Linked DNA regions of Rhinolophus ferrumequinum. The protein of the gene in region 1 binds, or shares a complex with, the protein of each later gene. Links are inferred from orthologs where the notes say so. Each region holds a gene or a part of one and is shown on either strand. Other genes may lie near its edges.

Evidence for each region. The genes of interacting proteins can lie anywhere in the genome.
Region 2: CORO2A (region 1) and GPS2 share a complex: the UniProt entries of both Homo sapiens proteins name them as parts of the N-Cor repressor complex. The link is inferred for Rhinolophus ferrumequinum from reciprocal best matches to the Homo sapiens genes CORO2A and GPS2.

What each region holds. Positions count from the first base shown.
Region 1 is NC_046295.1:54,548,979-54,556,745, forward strand, and holds the start of CORO2A (coronin-2A), read right to left. Parts: upstream 3,114-7,767; 5' UTR 3,001-3,113; intron 1-3,000.
Region 2 is NC_046304.1:11,527,247-11,534,932, forward strand, and holds GPS2 (G protein pathway suppressor 2), read left to right. Parts: upstream 1-4,388; 5' UTR 4,389-4,727; coding exon 4,728-4,821; intron 4,822-5,187; coding exon 5,188-5,297; intron 5,298-5,376; coding exon 5,377-5,489; intron 5,490-5,619; coding exon 5,620-5,699; intron 5,700-5,790; coding exon 5,791-5,879; intron 5,880-6,067; coding exon 6,068-6,221; intron 6,222-6,347; coding exon 6,348-6,437; intron 6,438-6,527; coding exon 6,528-6,607; intron 6,608-6,694; coding exon 6,695-6,790; intron 6,791-6,963; coding exon 6,964-7,047; 3' UTR 7,048-7,685; downstream 7,686-7,686. Other genes in the region: NEURL4 (neuralized-like protein 4), read left to right, coding at 1-45, 248-412, 977-1,135, 1,477-1,656, 1,782-1,869, 1,963-2,070, 2,218-2,362, 2,509-2,621 and 2 more. UniProt on the Homo sapiens protein: Key regulator of inflammation, lipid metabolism and mitochondrion homeostasis that acts by inhibiting the activity of the ubiquitin-conjugating enzyme UBE2N/Ubc13, thereby inhibiting 'Lys-63'-linked ubiquitination.

The DNA.
Region 1 (7,767 bases):
AGCCTGCAGGCCCCCAGGATCTCAAGGCCTAGTACACAGTAAGTGCCCAATATGTTTTTGTCCACAGTGATGAAGTCATGTACTCCTGGCCCTTCATACTAGGTGGAATTGCAAAGCACCTTCTATCTGTCTGAAGGAGGCAAGGCACAGATTGTAGACTTCAAATAATAAATAGAGGATCGTGCTGAATTATTTTCCAGTCCTCCTGAAAAAGTCTCTGTCTCCATATGGTAGAGAAAATAAAAACAAAAACATGCTACGCTCTAAAATAATCCAGGTTCTGGCCATTTGGAAATAACAAAGGTCAAAGGCTGAACAAAATCTCTTTTCAGGGGAAAAAGGCTAGCTGCCTGCTTCTAAGGGGATTCATTTGGTGATGGTAGAGGGACGCTAGAACATTCTTTGATTATCTTTGTGTTCACTGCTCCTTCCAATAAAGACTTCAGTTAAAAGAAGTTTGCTAAGTCTAGAACATGGGTTGTCAGAATTGAAAAAAATCCAGCAATCACTGAAATTACCCCATGTCACAGATGGGGAAAGTGAGGTACAGAAAGGGCAAGGGAGTCATCTATGGTCGCAGAGTGGGGCAGAGGAAGAGTTCATCCTGGAATCTATGTCTGCTGACTTTAGTCTCAGGGCCTTTCTACTATGGGCCACACTACTATGCTTTAGTGCCACTGTTTTTTTTAAGCTGTAATTTTCACATGAAATGTTTATTAATCCTCAGATAAAACACCAAGAGCTGCTTCACTATAAGACAACTTCTTATAAATAATAGCACTACTCTCTTTCTCTCACTTCCTTATGGGAAAGTACTCAAAGTTAGAAGGCTAGGGGCAAAGGACAGTTAAGATAATTTTTGTGGACTTTTGTCACGAGATGCCAGGTTGCACTACAAAATTAAATGCCACTGGAGAATCCCTACAGCCTTGCCAGCATAGAGGTTTATCCTTTTAATTTATTTTTGCTAATTTTATAGGAATAAATACAGACCACTTTCATTTACTATATGGTATGTGTTTTCAAACACACATACACACACACACACGTCTTAGAATCAGGATCCCTGGGCTTGGTTGCTGGTTTGCTTTATGACCTTTGACAAGTCACATCCCCTTTAGAGATAGGGGATGCCTGTCTATAAAATGAGGAGGTTGGATGAGATGATTTCTTAAGATCCCTTTCAGCTTGGACATTCCATAATTCCATGGCACATTTTAAAATTATTAGCATGGGATGACTTTTCAATTACCAGAATCTGCCCTGCCCCTAAACCACGCCAAAATGGCTTGGACTAGCCGAGCAGAAAAACAGGGCCCAGATAATACACACGTAGAGATGACAGGAGACTTAGGAAGTACTTAAGCCTGTGCATCGGAGCTCTGCTCGAGTGACAGCACATATACTTAGTCTGCTTTTATGAGGGGATAATACCACTCATTTGTGGTCTAGTTCCAAGTTCTGTGCAGCTCCACCATGGCCAAAAGACAAGGTCATGGACAGTCTACTTCAGCGCTTAGGATCCCAGACTTGCGGCCAAAGGTAGCTCACCCTGAGCAAGTGCTCATCTAGCCTCTGCTTGCATATCTCTGTTGACACAGAGCTCACTACCTGCCCAGGTGGCCCCGATTTTCTTTTGGCTTTAAGAAAGCTCCAGGGAGAGGGGCAGGTCATGAAGGGGACGAGAGACCGGAAGGCCCAGACTTCGTTCTCAGTCAGGGCCTGCAACAGGAGAAGGACTCCTCTGGCTCCTCCTCACTTGAGACCTGTAAGGCAGCTGCTAAGCCAAAGGTGCACAGGAAGTGCAGGAGGCACAGGGACACATTCTGGTCCTGATGCAAGGGGTTCTGAACAAGCCCCAGGCTGATTACTGCCCACTCGGGGGCAGACATCCAAGCTCCCCCATCCTGCCTTTGCTCCCTTTTGCTCCAGCAGGAGAAACAGTGCTAGGCCTGGAGGTGTTCAGCTTGGAGGTGAGATTTATGGGACCAGGTGATTGCCTCTGGGTGGCGGAGGAGGGGTCAGATGTCTGTGTGCCCAGAGCAGGGCCCGCGGATTCCAGCTGTTTACAGCTAATGAGATCCCCATCATAAGGGGTGTGCAATGGGGCAGTAAGACCTTCCAGAAGGAATGCTACTGAGGGGCTGGCCCAGATGCCAGGGGTCTTTATCCAGAGAGCAGGAAGCCATAGTCCCTCAGACATGTGCGCTGTTCCAGACCCACCCCAACTCAGACACACAGTGCTTTTGGCACTGGGGTCGCCTCTGGGATCCACACATAGACGTGAGCCAGCCCTATCACACCCGCTGGGGCACAGAGCTAGGTGCCAGCACCTGAAATTTAAGGGACTTCCCGTACCATTCCCTAAATCCAGGTGCCTGCATGGGTCTGGTCCAGGCAAGTCTGAGGCTGAGGGCCCCACCACTTTCACCTCAGGGCTCCCCCAGCTCCAGAACGGGAGGCCGACTTGGCGGGCAGACTCTGACGGTCTCACCCTGCATGCCCAAGCTGGCTCCATAGAGACCTGGAGATGTCCCCTGTCCTGTTTCTAGGGCCAGCAGGTCACCCAGCTAAGAGGGGGAGAGTCCCAACACGGGTCCCGCGGGACACTCAGGCCACAAGGGGGCCTGTCGCGACCGACTCGCCACACCCAGGGTGAGCGGCCCTTACTGCATGCGGGAGGGGTGGGCGGTGCAGATTGTGCCCATCCGGGCCCCTGCCCTCGGGAACATGGACCTTGGGGCGGCCCCTCCCCGCAGCCCAGCGAGGAAGGGGCCCACTATTGCACCCTCCATCCCAATGAGGAAACTGAGGCCTGGAGAACAGTGCTTTGTGCAAGGTCACGCGTAGGGGCTAGAAGCCAGGTCCCCCGCGCTCTGCTGGGTCCCCCGCGGCGCGCCCTGCCCTAGCATCCCTCCTGGGGTGCTACAGCCAGGAGGCGCAGCACGCACACAGCGCGCAGACCGAGAAGGCACGGCTCGTGGCGCGGGGCCGCCCTACCTTGATGACGGCCGCGCAGGTGGCGGTGGCGGCGGTGGTGTCCGGCTCCGGCTGCTGCTCCGCGCTCCTCGCCGCCCGCCGAGTCCCGGTGCACAGAGCCGCCGCCTCCTCCCCCCCCCCGCAGCCAGGCGGGCGGGGCCTGTGGGCGGGGCAGGGGCCCGCACAAGCCCCGCCCGCGCGCCCCGCGGGGGCCACCCCTCCTTCCCCCATCCACCCCTCCTTTTCCTACCCTGCTCCTAGTCCACCCCTACCCTGCTCCTTGTCCTCGAGGGCTGGTCTCCCGACGCGCACACTGGCACAGAACAGGCGCGCACACCGGTCCGCGCACGCCGCAGTGATTGGGGCGGGCTCCCCAGCGACCAGGCTGAGTGAGGCTGGGGACAGTCAGACCCGCCTGGCTTTTCGTCCCACCGCTCCCTCTCTGCGTGACACAGGACAAGGGACTCGATCCCCAGGAGCCTCCCTTTCCACTTTGGTGAAATGGAAACAGTAACCGTGTCTGTCTCAGAGAGCTGCTTGAGAATTAGATGAGACGATCGAATTTACCCGCCCAGTAAATAAAATGCGCACACAGAGCCTGCCACAGAGAAGCTCTGGGCAAACCCGGGAGGGAGCAAAAGGGCAAGGAGGGTCGCTGGAGTATCAGGAGGACTCCCTTCCGTCTCCCGGTAGCCAGGAGGGGGCGCTACTGCCCAGCCTCGCGGGCTTGGGGTCCTGAGCCTCCCAGGCAATGGGGAGGAGATGGGGAGGCCCCGCCTTTTAGTAACACCACTACCTAACACTTACTGAGCCAGGCCCTGTTCTAGGCACCTTGACTGCGTTACCTCACTCAACCGTCACACAAGCCTATGAGGTTATACTATTACTCATTTTACACATAAGGGAGCTGAGGCACAGGGAGGTTAAGTACCTCACTCAGGGTCACAGAGCTAATAATTCAACCCTAGGCAGTGTGGCTCCCAAACCCAATTTTTTTTTTTTAAATTGAAGTTTAATGGGGTGACAATGGTTAGTATAGTTACACAGGTTTCAAGTGTACCAAGCCCAATCTTACAGCCACTCCAAACTAAGAGCTTTGTTTTGTACAGTGGTGTATTTAATGTGCCAGGGCCTAGAACTACCTGGCATATAGTAGGCACTCAATATGTATTTGTTGAGTGAATAACAGTGCGTACTACGTATCACTTTACAGACATTATTTCATTTAATCCTAGTAACTCTTTTACTTAGCCACTATTATTACCCCCACTTTACAGATGAAATAATTGAGGCTTACAAGTCGCTAAGTACTTGGGGGCTCTTGATTATCACCTTAGAACAGCCAGGGCCAAAGCCTGTGATTCAGTGTTCACTGGGCCATTCCTCTGCCCAGAGCTGGATGGGCTCCCTGACTACTGCCCAGAGCCCAGTCCCTCAGTCTGGCCTGCAAAGCCTCCACTCTGCAGCCCTGACCCAGGCTTCTTGGAGCTGGATTGCTCAGTGGGCTGGCTGAAGGCACGCTTCCAGTATCTGCATGAGTTGGATATTTGATGTTTCAAAAAAGCATATGGAAAATCAGAACATTGTGGGCGTTCCTTATACTTATGGTTCAATATTGCCTTTGTTTTTTTATTACACCTAGCAGGTGGGCACCTTTCCAACGCTAAGACATCTGAATGCTTAATTCACCTAGGGCTTGGGCAGTATCTTGGGTGTATCCCCCACCCCCTTGCACTCTTACATCCCTGTCTTTGCTGACACTCTGTTCCGCCAGGAATTCTCTTCCTGCTATCTCTGGCTAAGCTGACTCACCCTTCCTTCCAGGATTGGCACCAACACCCCTCCCCAGGAAGGCTTCCCAATGCCCTGTGGGTGTGCCCTGCCATTCTGCATCTTCCTGTCCCGTGCCATGATGGTAGGTGTCTGTATTTGGGGTGAGACGGGTTTAATAGGGATCTCTGGGGGCCATGCGCATATGGACCGAAGGACAGAGGGGAGGCCATTGGAAGCCTCTGTAATAGACACAACCTGGGACTCTTCCTGAAGATGCTGTATTTGTGTGTGTGTGGGGGGGGTCCTCATTTTGCTGCCCCTTCTCTTCCCCTAACCTTGGTCCATTTGAGGAAGGCTACTCCCTGACCATTCTCTGCATTGCACACATGGGGAAACTGAGGCCAGAGTGGTGATGACTTGCATAGGGCCCCTTAGCTAGAAAACCACATAATAGGTCTGGTCCCAAAGTTGGGGCCACCCGCCAGTACCTTCTACTGGGCCTTATTGCTGATTGGGATGGGCCGGGACCAACACTTTCCTTTCCCAGGTGTCAACATAGCCCAGCTTTGTTTAATCTACTGTGTGGGTAAGTGCCTTGTGGGGGACCAGAGTGTGTGTGTGTGAGGGAGGGAGGGAGGGGGAGGGGGGAGAGACAGAGAGAGAGAGATAGAGAGAGAGAGAGAGAGAGAGAGAGAGAGATATCTCCACCTACATGCCCAACTGGAGCTTTCTGTACAACATGGCCCTGTGCCCATGGGAGAGTGAGCTGAGAAAGACTAGGGGTAGAAGCAACTGGGAGGTAAGGTTCTGAGTGTGGGGGAAAGTAGCCCTGAACACAGGCAGTCTGTAGAAGTGAGTGTACCCCTCCCACCTTGGGGTGGAGGTGAGGGGTCTCCCAAAGTGTCCTCCAGGCCCTTCCTCCTCCTTTGAGGAGTTACTTTATTCTTGGAAATTTTCCCCCTGGGTAACTCCTTCCCCCTCCCCTGTAGAATGGAGTGTGGACCTCAGCTTGCTGGGGGCCTAGTGTCTGGAGAGAGATGCTCTGAGCAAGAGGTCCCATCCCCTGGGGTAGGAAGGGGGGCTGTGAGGGATCAGATCCTCCAGCTCTGGAAAGCAGCGGCCCCTGGGGATGGGGGCGACAGCTGTGGTGCAGGGCCAGGAACCTGACACCAGGCATAGGCCCCAAACACCCTTCAGGAAGAGCAGGGGGAGGGTGGGCGGTTTCCCTCGGAGCAGCAAGCAGCAGCCCCAGACCTTCTGGTGTGTGACTCCCTCCCCCCACCTGTCCCTGCTACATTCCTCCCATTTTCCTTTGCCTGGAGCTCTCCCCACAGACCCTACAACCACTCAGGCCATGGGCCAGGCCTGTCCTTTCCCCTGGGCCCTTGGGGGAGATTTTCTAGGTTCCAGACAAGGGGAGGTGAGCTGGGAGGAGCCCTCCCTGGTTTTGCAGTTAGGGCCTCTAAGCTTGAGTATGGCTTAACTTCTCAGGGGCTGTGTGAGTTGGGGCAAGTTAGTTAACCTCTCTGAGTCTTGTCCTCTTTATCTGTAAACTGAGCTTGGCCTGTAGTGGGCTAGTGCTCTAGGACAGGCAGTTCTCATTCCTGCCTCTGCCTCTAGCTCCCTCTTCAGGGATGGAGGAGGCCCCATCAAGTCAGTCCTCACTGTCCTGTGGTCCCCAACAGGCTTTGAGAGGGGCCCAGAACCAGTCCTTTTAAAAGGCTGCTCAGGCGATTCCACGGTGCAGCCACATAGGAACCAGGTTACACAGCACTGGGCCACCTGTAAAGCATCCCACAACCCCCAGTGGGGGAGCGAAGAGTGTAGGTATCCAGCTCTGGGCAGAGCTTCTCCTCTGATGTGTGTGTGGCAGGAATAAGAAATGGGGGGGAAGAGTGAAGAAACGTGCAGAGGAGGAAAAGGGCGAGGATGAGGGGGCCTGGGGAGGAAGGCAGAATGGAGGCGAGAATGGGGCAGAAGTTGGAGGGGAAGAGGAAGGAGAGAGGTGGGGAACGGGTAAGGAGGAGAGGGAGGGGGCCATCGATCTTGTCCGATCTGGGAGTTTTATTTTTGGCTGAGGTGGGAATTTGTTTTCCAAGGCTGGAATCTGAGGGGCCAGCTGTGTCTCCTGGAGCCTTGGCCTTTCGTAGGCTGCAGGGCCCTCCTGGTGATGTTTGCTTCATAAAAAGGCCGCTCACTGCTGTTCACTGTGCCTGGCATCGGCTCAGCACTGGTGTCATCTCCTCTCCCCTGTGGTGGCCCTTGTGGTTACAGCCTGTTGGGGGAGCAGCCAGGACTTCCCCCAGTCCACTCTCATACCACCATCATGCATGCTTCACACATACTGTTTGCTGGTGAAAGGGCCTCGGCAGATGAAAAAAGTTTAGCAAAAATGAGAAAGGTTGTCAAGCTCCAGTGTGGGGCATTCCCAGGAAACCTGGTGCCCTGGGGCCAGCCAGTAGCCCATGGGAATGTGGGACGAAAGGAACGCTGAGTGTCCCCTCCCCAGGGTCGTGGAGGGGCGCAGTGTGGGGGAACTGGGTGCCTGGTGTGCCACGTTCACACCTATGAGTGCCAGAGGGCCTGTCCCTGGTCTCCAGGGACAGGCACGGTCCCCTTCCCCAGCCCTGCACAGGAGCCTCACATCACAGGGGGGTTTCCATGTGGGAACGCCGCACCCCCCATCCTTCATACCAGATTGCTGAGCTCAAGGCTATACTGTGGCAGTCACAGGTTTGCTGAGAAATTAGCAGCCAAAACCACTGTGCAGCCGTGACTCCCTGCCTGGAGGGGGATGGCAGGAGCCTGTCTGCTGAGGAAGGGCCTGGAAGAGCCCAGAACTGACACTGAGTTCCTGCACACAGTGGGTGTGTGCCTAAGAGCCCGCTCTGACTTGGCGACAGGCTGCAGCCTGACCCTCGCACTGCCTTTTCCTCACTCTCCAATCACCATCAGAGAAGAGGTGACTCTTGTCCTAGCCTGCGAAGTTGGTGGTGGGCGGTCAGAAGGCTCTCT
Region 2 (7,686 bases), on another chromosome or scaffold:
GAGGGCGAGGAGGACGACGACGAGGGCGAGGAGCATGGCCTGGGAGTAAGAGGCTGCGGCAGGGCCCTCTGGGCACATGGATGAGTGGTGGGTGGGCCATTGGCCACCAGGTCGTTTTGGGGTTCTCTGATCCTGTGCTGGATGGGCAGAAGCTTATGTGCAAGCTCTGTGTGAGCTTGCCACTCCACTTGGATGACTTGGGCCTCACCTGGGCAAACCCAGTAGCTCAGTCTCTCCTCCATACCAGGGCCAAGATCAAGTGACTATTATGCCTACAGCCCTCGAGTTCCTGGAAAACCATGGGAAGAATATCCTCTTGTCCAATGGGAACCGTACAGCTACACGGGTGGCCAGCTACAATCAGGGCATTGTTGTCATCAGCCAGCCCCTAGTGCCCCAGCTTCTGGTCCAGGTGGGCCTCACCTCCTTATCCCCAGCAATTCGCTCAGGTGACCCAGGGCCAATCCTCTTGGAGCATGGCTTTTCCAGGTTGAGGACATAGTGGAAGGCAAGCCCCTTGGATGAGCTTCCTGGGCTTTTGTTCATACTTTGTGGTGAGAGTTGCTGGTCGGTAACCAGTAAGCGCCCACCTGATGACTGTAGCGAGGGAAACAGGAGGGGAGAGCTGGGGGAGTCCAGGGAAGCCACCAGGTCCTATATGTGGGCGCAGGGAGGGCTTTCCAGAGGAGGGGTCTTTCTACTGCAAGTTAAGAGATGTTAGTGTTCGCCAGGGGAAGGAAGTCACTAGGGACAAGAATCCTTACAGAGTCAACAACAAAACCAAGGCTGAAAGAGGGGAAGAAACAACTGAATTTGCAGTTTCCAGGCCTTCAAGCATCAGAAGGGGCAGCATCCCAGGCCACACTCTGGGAGGTGTCATCTTCCCTCCCTGGCTGGGGTGAGGAGCATAGGTCTGCTGGGTGGGTGGCCTCTTCCTAAGAGGCCATGACTGGGGAATAGTTGCCTTCTTCCCCAGGTGCGGATAGATTTCCTGAACCGGCAGTGGACATCTTCCCTTGTCCTGGGAGTCATCACCTGCCCACCTGAGAGGCTCAACTTCCCTGCTTCTGCCTGTGCCCTCAAACGGGCAGCCTGGCTGCTCCGGGGCCATGGGGTCTTCCACAATGGCCTCAAGGTGGGTAGGGAGCAGAGAGACGGGCGGGGTCCTGAGCTCTGGAGGTAGGATCACAGGTATAAAGGGGCCCTGTAGTGGGTGGGCTCACACGAGGCTGTGAGTGTCATTACCTGGACAGTCGGGCTTACTGCCTCTTATCGCCCTGCCGTTGAGAACGTTGCAGTGGTAGGAAAGAGGAGGCGAAGTCTAGGTCATTGAAGCAGTGGGTGGGGCCCAGGCAGTAGGCAAGTATGAAAGCAAAGCCCAGGGACTGGTGACCTGAAACAGGGTGAAGGGCGGGGGTGGCTGCTTCTGGTGGGAGTCTGATCTCTGGGAAGACAGTAGGTCTTTTTTCCTCCTAGATCTGTGAGAAGTTTGGGCCAAATTTGGACACATGTCCTGAAGGCACCATCCTGGGACTGCGGCTAGACAGCTCTGGGGGACTGCACCTCCTTGTCAATGGAATGGACCAGGGGGTGGCTGTGCCAGATGTCCCCCAGCCCTGCCATGCGCTTGTGGACCTCTATGGGCAGTGTGAGCAGGTTAGTGGCCATGGAGGTGGGGAGGAGGGGGTGCCTGGGAGATGGCTGTCCGAGTAAAGCGGAGGTCTGTGGGCCAAGGAGGGGCTCAGCAGGCCCTGGAGGCTGACCACCCCTCTTTTCTGCAGGTGACAATTGTGAACCCTGAACCAGGGGCTGCCAGTGGGAAGAGTGTTGGAACCCAAGGGGACATGGAGAAAGCCGACATGGTGGATGGTGAGCCAGTCCAAAGGGACCAGGATCCTACCCCACCCCACCGCATACTTCTAGCCCCATTTCTGGTCACCTGTGCCCCCTCTGTTCCTTCAGGGATCAAGGAGAGTGTGTGTTGGGGTCCACCGCCTGCTGCCAGCCCTCTCAAGAGTTGCGAGTACCATGCTCTTTGCTCCCGTTTCCAAGAACTGCTGCTGCTTCCTGGTGAGTTCCCAGCCCCCCAGAACTTGCCTCATTCCCTGGCCCAGTGTAGGGCCATGCCCAGATTCCTGGGGACCAGTTGGAAGAAGGCTGTGTGGTTGAGATGCAGGGTGGGAGCCACAGCACCAAGTACCACTCATTCTCCCACAGAGGATTATTTCATGCCTCCACCGAAACGTAGCCTGTGCTACTGTGAGTCTTGCCGGAAGCTGCGAGGGGATGAGGCCCACAGGCGCCGTGGGGAGCCTCCCCGGGAATACGCCCTGCCCTTTGGCTGGTGCAGGTTCAACCTCAGGTATGGATGGGACAGAGTCATGTGTGTCTCCCTTACTGTTCTTGAGAAAGGAGGGTCCCAAGAGGGTGCGTGGAAGAAGTGACAGAACTTTTATCTAGGGGATGACCTTGGGGAGCCCGTGACCTTTGTCCTTTCTGCCCACCTAGGGTGAATCCCCGCCTGGAGGCTGGGACACTAACCAAGAAGTGGCACATGGCGTATCATGGGAGCAACGTGGCAGCTGTCCGGAGGGTGCTGGACCGAGGAGAGCTGGGAGCAGGTACCGTAGCTCCAGCAGTCAAGGCAGGCTGGGCCTGTGGGCTGCAGCAGGCCTACCCTGACCCCGCTCTCCTCACAGGCACTGCCTCCATCCTGAGCTGCCGGCCCTTGAAGGGAGACCCTGCGGGAGGGTTTGAGGAGCCTGGTGAGAACTGCGCACCTTCTCGGGAGGAGCAGCCCCCTGCAGTGCTGCTTTCTCCCTCCCTCCAATATGCTGGGGCTGAGACCCTGGCATCCAAAGTGCAGTGAGTACACGGGAGGGGGCCCCAGGGCCACTTGGGTCTCCATGATTTGCCTTCCCTTTCCCTACCTGGTTTTGCTAGTTCCTCAGTTTCCAGCCCATCCCTTTCCTCACACATTCCTTGAATAAATGCCACTTCTTTCATGCTATCAGTGAACAAAAAAGGGAACCTTGCTCTTGTATAACTTACATTTTTCTCTGTAGAATGTTTATGCGTAATATTCAGTATATTTAAAGGTGACAAGTGATATTATGGAAACAGAAAAAGTGGAGTGGGGTAAATGGATCAAATGTGCAGTTGGAGCAGGTCTATTAAATAGGGTAGTCAGGGTAGACATCAAGGTGAGATTTGAGCAGACTGGAGAAGGAGGTGACGGAGTTAGCTGAGGCGGCATTGGGAGGAGAACCATTTGGAACAGAGAGAAGAGCTAGAGCCAACTCCCTACAAGGTGGGAGTGATTCCTAGGAACAGGGAGGCTAGTGCAGTGGTTGCAGTTAGCAAGGGGAAGACGTGACAGGCCAGAGGCCTCACTGCCCTATTTCTACTTCTTGCCTGACAGATTCCGGGACCCCAAATCCCAGCGGACACACCAGGCCCAGGTGGCATTCCAGGTGTGTGTGCGCCCTGGCTCCTATACCCCTGGCCCTCCTTCTGCTGCCCTCAGAGAACCTCCTGACCCTCACTTCAGCCTAGCCGAACTTGAATGGGTAACCAAGGAGAAGGGGGCCACACTCCTCTATGCCCTGCTGGTACGGGTAGAATGAAGGGTGAGACCTCACTACTACAAGCACAGTTGGGCCACGGGCCCATGGACTCTTGAGTGATGACTGCCTTCACCTCATTCCAGTGACCCACGGCATGCACGGTGCTCAGTCTGGCGGATGCACAAGAGTATGTAGGCAGACTCTGAGATTTAGATGGGAGTGGAGCACACCTCCACATCCAGGGCCCTTGAACACTCTCTGAGGTGAGGGAGCTTGTGAGGAGCCCGGCTCCAGGCCCTGGGTAACCCCTCCTCGTGCACTGATTTGGGGAACACGACTCCCTATGACTCCCTCCCCTGTATCACTTAATTTATTTCCGTTTTGTTCCTCATTACTGTGAATCCCAGAGGAGTCTCCCTGTGCCCCCCATGAAGCTGCTTTTTCCAGGAGCCACCGGGCGGGAGCCACCGGGCGGGAGCGGGGAAGGTGGGGCCCTCTGTACAGTTGTTATGACTCTGATTTCTAAGGAGCCAATAAACACGGTCTCAAAGCACCCGCCTCGCCTGTCTCTCACGCGCCCCTCGGGGATCGTCCCCGACCGGCCCAGTCAGGGACCCACGGGGTAACCACTGCTAGCTCTGAGCGTCTCGCGGCTGGCGCCAGGCCAGGAAGCAGCGCCCGGGGGTGGACGGCGCGGGGCCGGCGTAGCGGAGGGCTTTGGACGTCACAGGCACCCGTCCGCTTCGCTTCCGGCTTTTCCTCCCCGCCCAATCCGCGAGGGCTACAGCTCTGACCCCGGAAGGATTCATTCCAGTTGCCGGATGTGACGCATTGGCCAAAGTGCGCAGTAGGCCGCGGAGAAAGCGTAGAGAAGGCGGGTAGGAAGGTGCTGGCGCCCGGGCTGCCGGGGAGAGGACGCGAGTGTCGAGACCTGGGACCCCTGCCCCGCCCGCACGCGCGTACGCGCCGAAGCCGAGGCGGGTGAACGGGCCAGGCCGGGCGGCAGGCGCCGGACACGTGATCGGGGCGGCGAGCGGGCTTCCGCCTTCGCGGACCCGGCGCGATCCACCCTGAGCGCCCGCCTTCTCGCAGGCCTGGTCCGAGGTCTGGCAGTCTGCAGCAGAGCCGGGCACCCACAGTTCAAGCGTCCCCAGCAGCACCATGCCTGCGCTCCTGGAGCGCCCCAAGCTTTCCAACGCCATGGCAAGGGCGTTGCACCGGCACATCATGATGGAGCGGGAGCGCAAGCGGCAAGGTGAGTTGGGGCCAAAGCGGGAGGACAGTCGCCCAGGGCGGCACCGCTATCCCAGGGCTGACCCCCATCCCCGGGCAGACCAGTACACCGGCGGCCGAAGCTAAAGGAGGGGTGCAACAGTCCTGTTGTGGTGGGAGTTTAAATCGCCGTTTCTAAACTGTAAAACGCTTCAGCTGGGAAGGACCTTGGAGAGCACCTAATGAAACGTCCCTCTCCCTTTACCCTATTGCAGTGGTGGGAGAGGCCTGCCCTCTCAAGAGCAGAAAGGAGCACTGGGATAACCAGTTTTCGCTGGTCTTCAATCCCTAACGTTCTAATTATTTTAACCACCCCGCCACTTCACCATTTTGCCTAACTCTTCTCCAGAGGAAGAAGAGGTGGACAAGATGATGGAACAGAAGATGAAAGAAGAGCAGGAGAGAAGGAAGAAAAAGGAGATGGAGGAGAGAATGTCACTAGAGGAGACCAAAGAACAAGTATGTAGTCCCTTGATTTCTCCCAGTTCTTTCTTCCTTTGGCTCTCCTGCCTTTATCTCCTCTCCCCTTCTTTCTCAGATCCTGAAGTTGCAAGAGAAGCTTTTGGCCCTACAGGAAGAGAAGCACCAGCTTTTCCTGCAGCTCAAGAAAGTTTTACATGAGGAAGAAAAACGGAGGCGAAAGGAGCAGAGGTGGGATTTAAGAGCTAAAATTAAAATTGGGGGCAAAGTATAACTGGGATCACGTAACAAAAGATCAGTGTTTAATGGCAAAAGAGGGGGCACTTCTCCTTGATTTTGACCGGTCTTTCTTTCACTCCAGTGACCTGACCACTCTGACGTCAGCTGCATACCCACAGGGCCTGACTGTTCACACAGGAACTCATCTCCTCAGTATGCAAGGTGAGGATTAAAGAAACCACTGGTCCGAATGGGCCCTCCTAGGACTTGTAGACTCCCATTTCAGCATCACGAAGCCCCTCTTCCTCTCTAGGGAGCCCTGGAGGACACACTCGCCCAGGTACCCTCATGGCAGCTGACAGAGCCAAACAGATGTTCGGACCCCAAGTGCTTACAGTAAGAGTAGGATTGGGTGTCTGGCCCATTTTTCCACTACTACTTCCACCCAGACCCAAGCACCCTTACTAAACCAATATTCAAGTCATGAGTGTAACATAGATTTAACTGTATAGAGAAAAATGGAGCATACACAAATCAGTTGCTACTTTCAAGGAGTTTCCAGATAGTAAGGTGTCATCCTCCCTCTTTAGACCCGGCACTATGTGGGCTCAGCAGCTGCTTTCGCAGGGACCCCAGAGCATGGGCAATTCCAAGGCAGCCCAGGCGGTGCCTATGGGACTGCTCAGCCCCCACCTCACTATGGACCCACTCAACCCGCCTATAGTCCTAGTCAGCAGCTCAGAGGTGAGTGGTGGAAAAAGGTGGGGTGGGAGGGCGGGGAGACACTTTCCTCAAGGCCCAGAGGGAGTAGTATTTGTTGTAAACAGACTAAAAGGAGGTATTAATGGCTGTGCCTCCTGCCTTTCTCAGCACCGTCAGCGTTTCCTGCAGTACAGTACCTGTCTCAGCCACAGCCACAGCCCTATGCCGTGCACAGCCACTTTCAGCCCACTCAGACAGGTGATTATACCCCATGCAGGGGACCTAGTTCCATGGGTCCTCCCTTCCCCATTCACTAACTCATTTCACACACCCTTCTTCCCTACTTAGGGTTCCTCCAGCCTGGCAGTGCTCTGTCCTTACAAAAGCAAATGGAACATGCTAACCAGCAAACTGGCTTCTCTGACTCAGTGAGTGTGGAGCCTTGGGAGGTCAGGGGAAGGGCTATGCTAAGGGGAGCCCCAGGCTGCCTCAGGTCTTGATTCTGTTCTCTGCAGTCCTCCCTGCGCCCCATGCATCCCCAAGCTCTGCATCCAGCCCCTGGGCTCCTTGCCTCCCCCCAGCTCCCCGTGCAGATGCAACCAGCAGGAAAGGTAAGGATGGTAATCATACCTGTCACAATCCTTACACTATGGGAGAAAACAGGATTGGGTAGGACAGGTGGCCCAGTCCTGTTTTTTCCCCCTTCTTCCTTTGGGGTGATTCTAAGGGTGTAAGGAAGGGAAGAGCATGCACACTGACAAAACCCTTCTTCCACCACCACCAGTCAAGCTTTGCAGCTACCAGCCAACCGGGCCCTCGGCTCCCTTTCATCCAGCACAGCCAGAACACGCGATTCTACCACAAGTGACCATCAAATTTTATCATCAGCCTCACTCCCTACCCCCCACCATGGGCGAAGGTCCCCAGTGTGCTGTAGTAGTCCCAGGCCAATAAAATCTACCTGCCATTACCTTTGGCTGCTTGTTTGTGTTGCCTCCCACCTGGACTAGGCCAGGGCTGCTTGGATGGTGGGGGTGGCTAGCAAGTCCATTATAAATCAGTGGGACAGTGGGCTGTGATGAACTCAGCGACACAATTCAATCTATAATCTATTTCTGGTTTTCAAATTTACCTTTTAAGTCAGCAAATACCCATTTATTCAAAGAAGCATCCAAGTTGGGGCTTCATATTAAACTTGTAGTTTTATTCAGGTTTGATTTTAACAAATGTGTCGGGGAGAGAGCCCACAGGAAAGGGTGATGCCCATAGGGGCAGGGCCCTCCCAGATGCCTGAGGAGGGAGCAGGTCCCCTCCCCTCTCCTCCTCTTCTCTCCCCAGCCAAAGGGATTTGGGGAGAGACATAGGCGGGGAGGGGGCTGGTCCCCAGTCTGTGGGGGTGGTGCTTGGGATAAAGGACTATGGGGAACAAGGGACCAGACTGAGGATGAATAGGGGAAGGGCACAAGGACCATTTGCCAGAATCCACAGCTCTCTGATTCCAGAATTT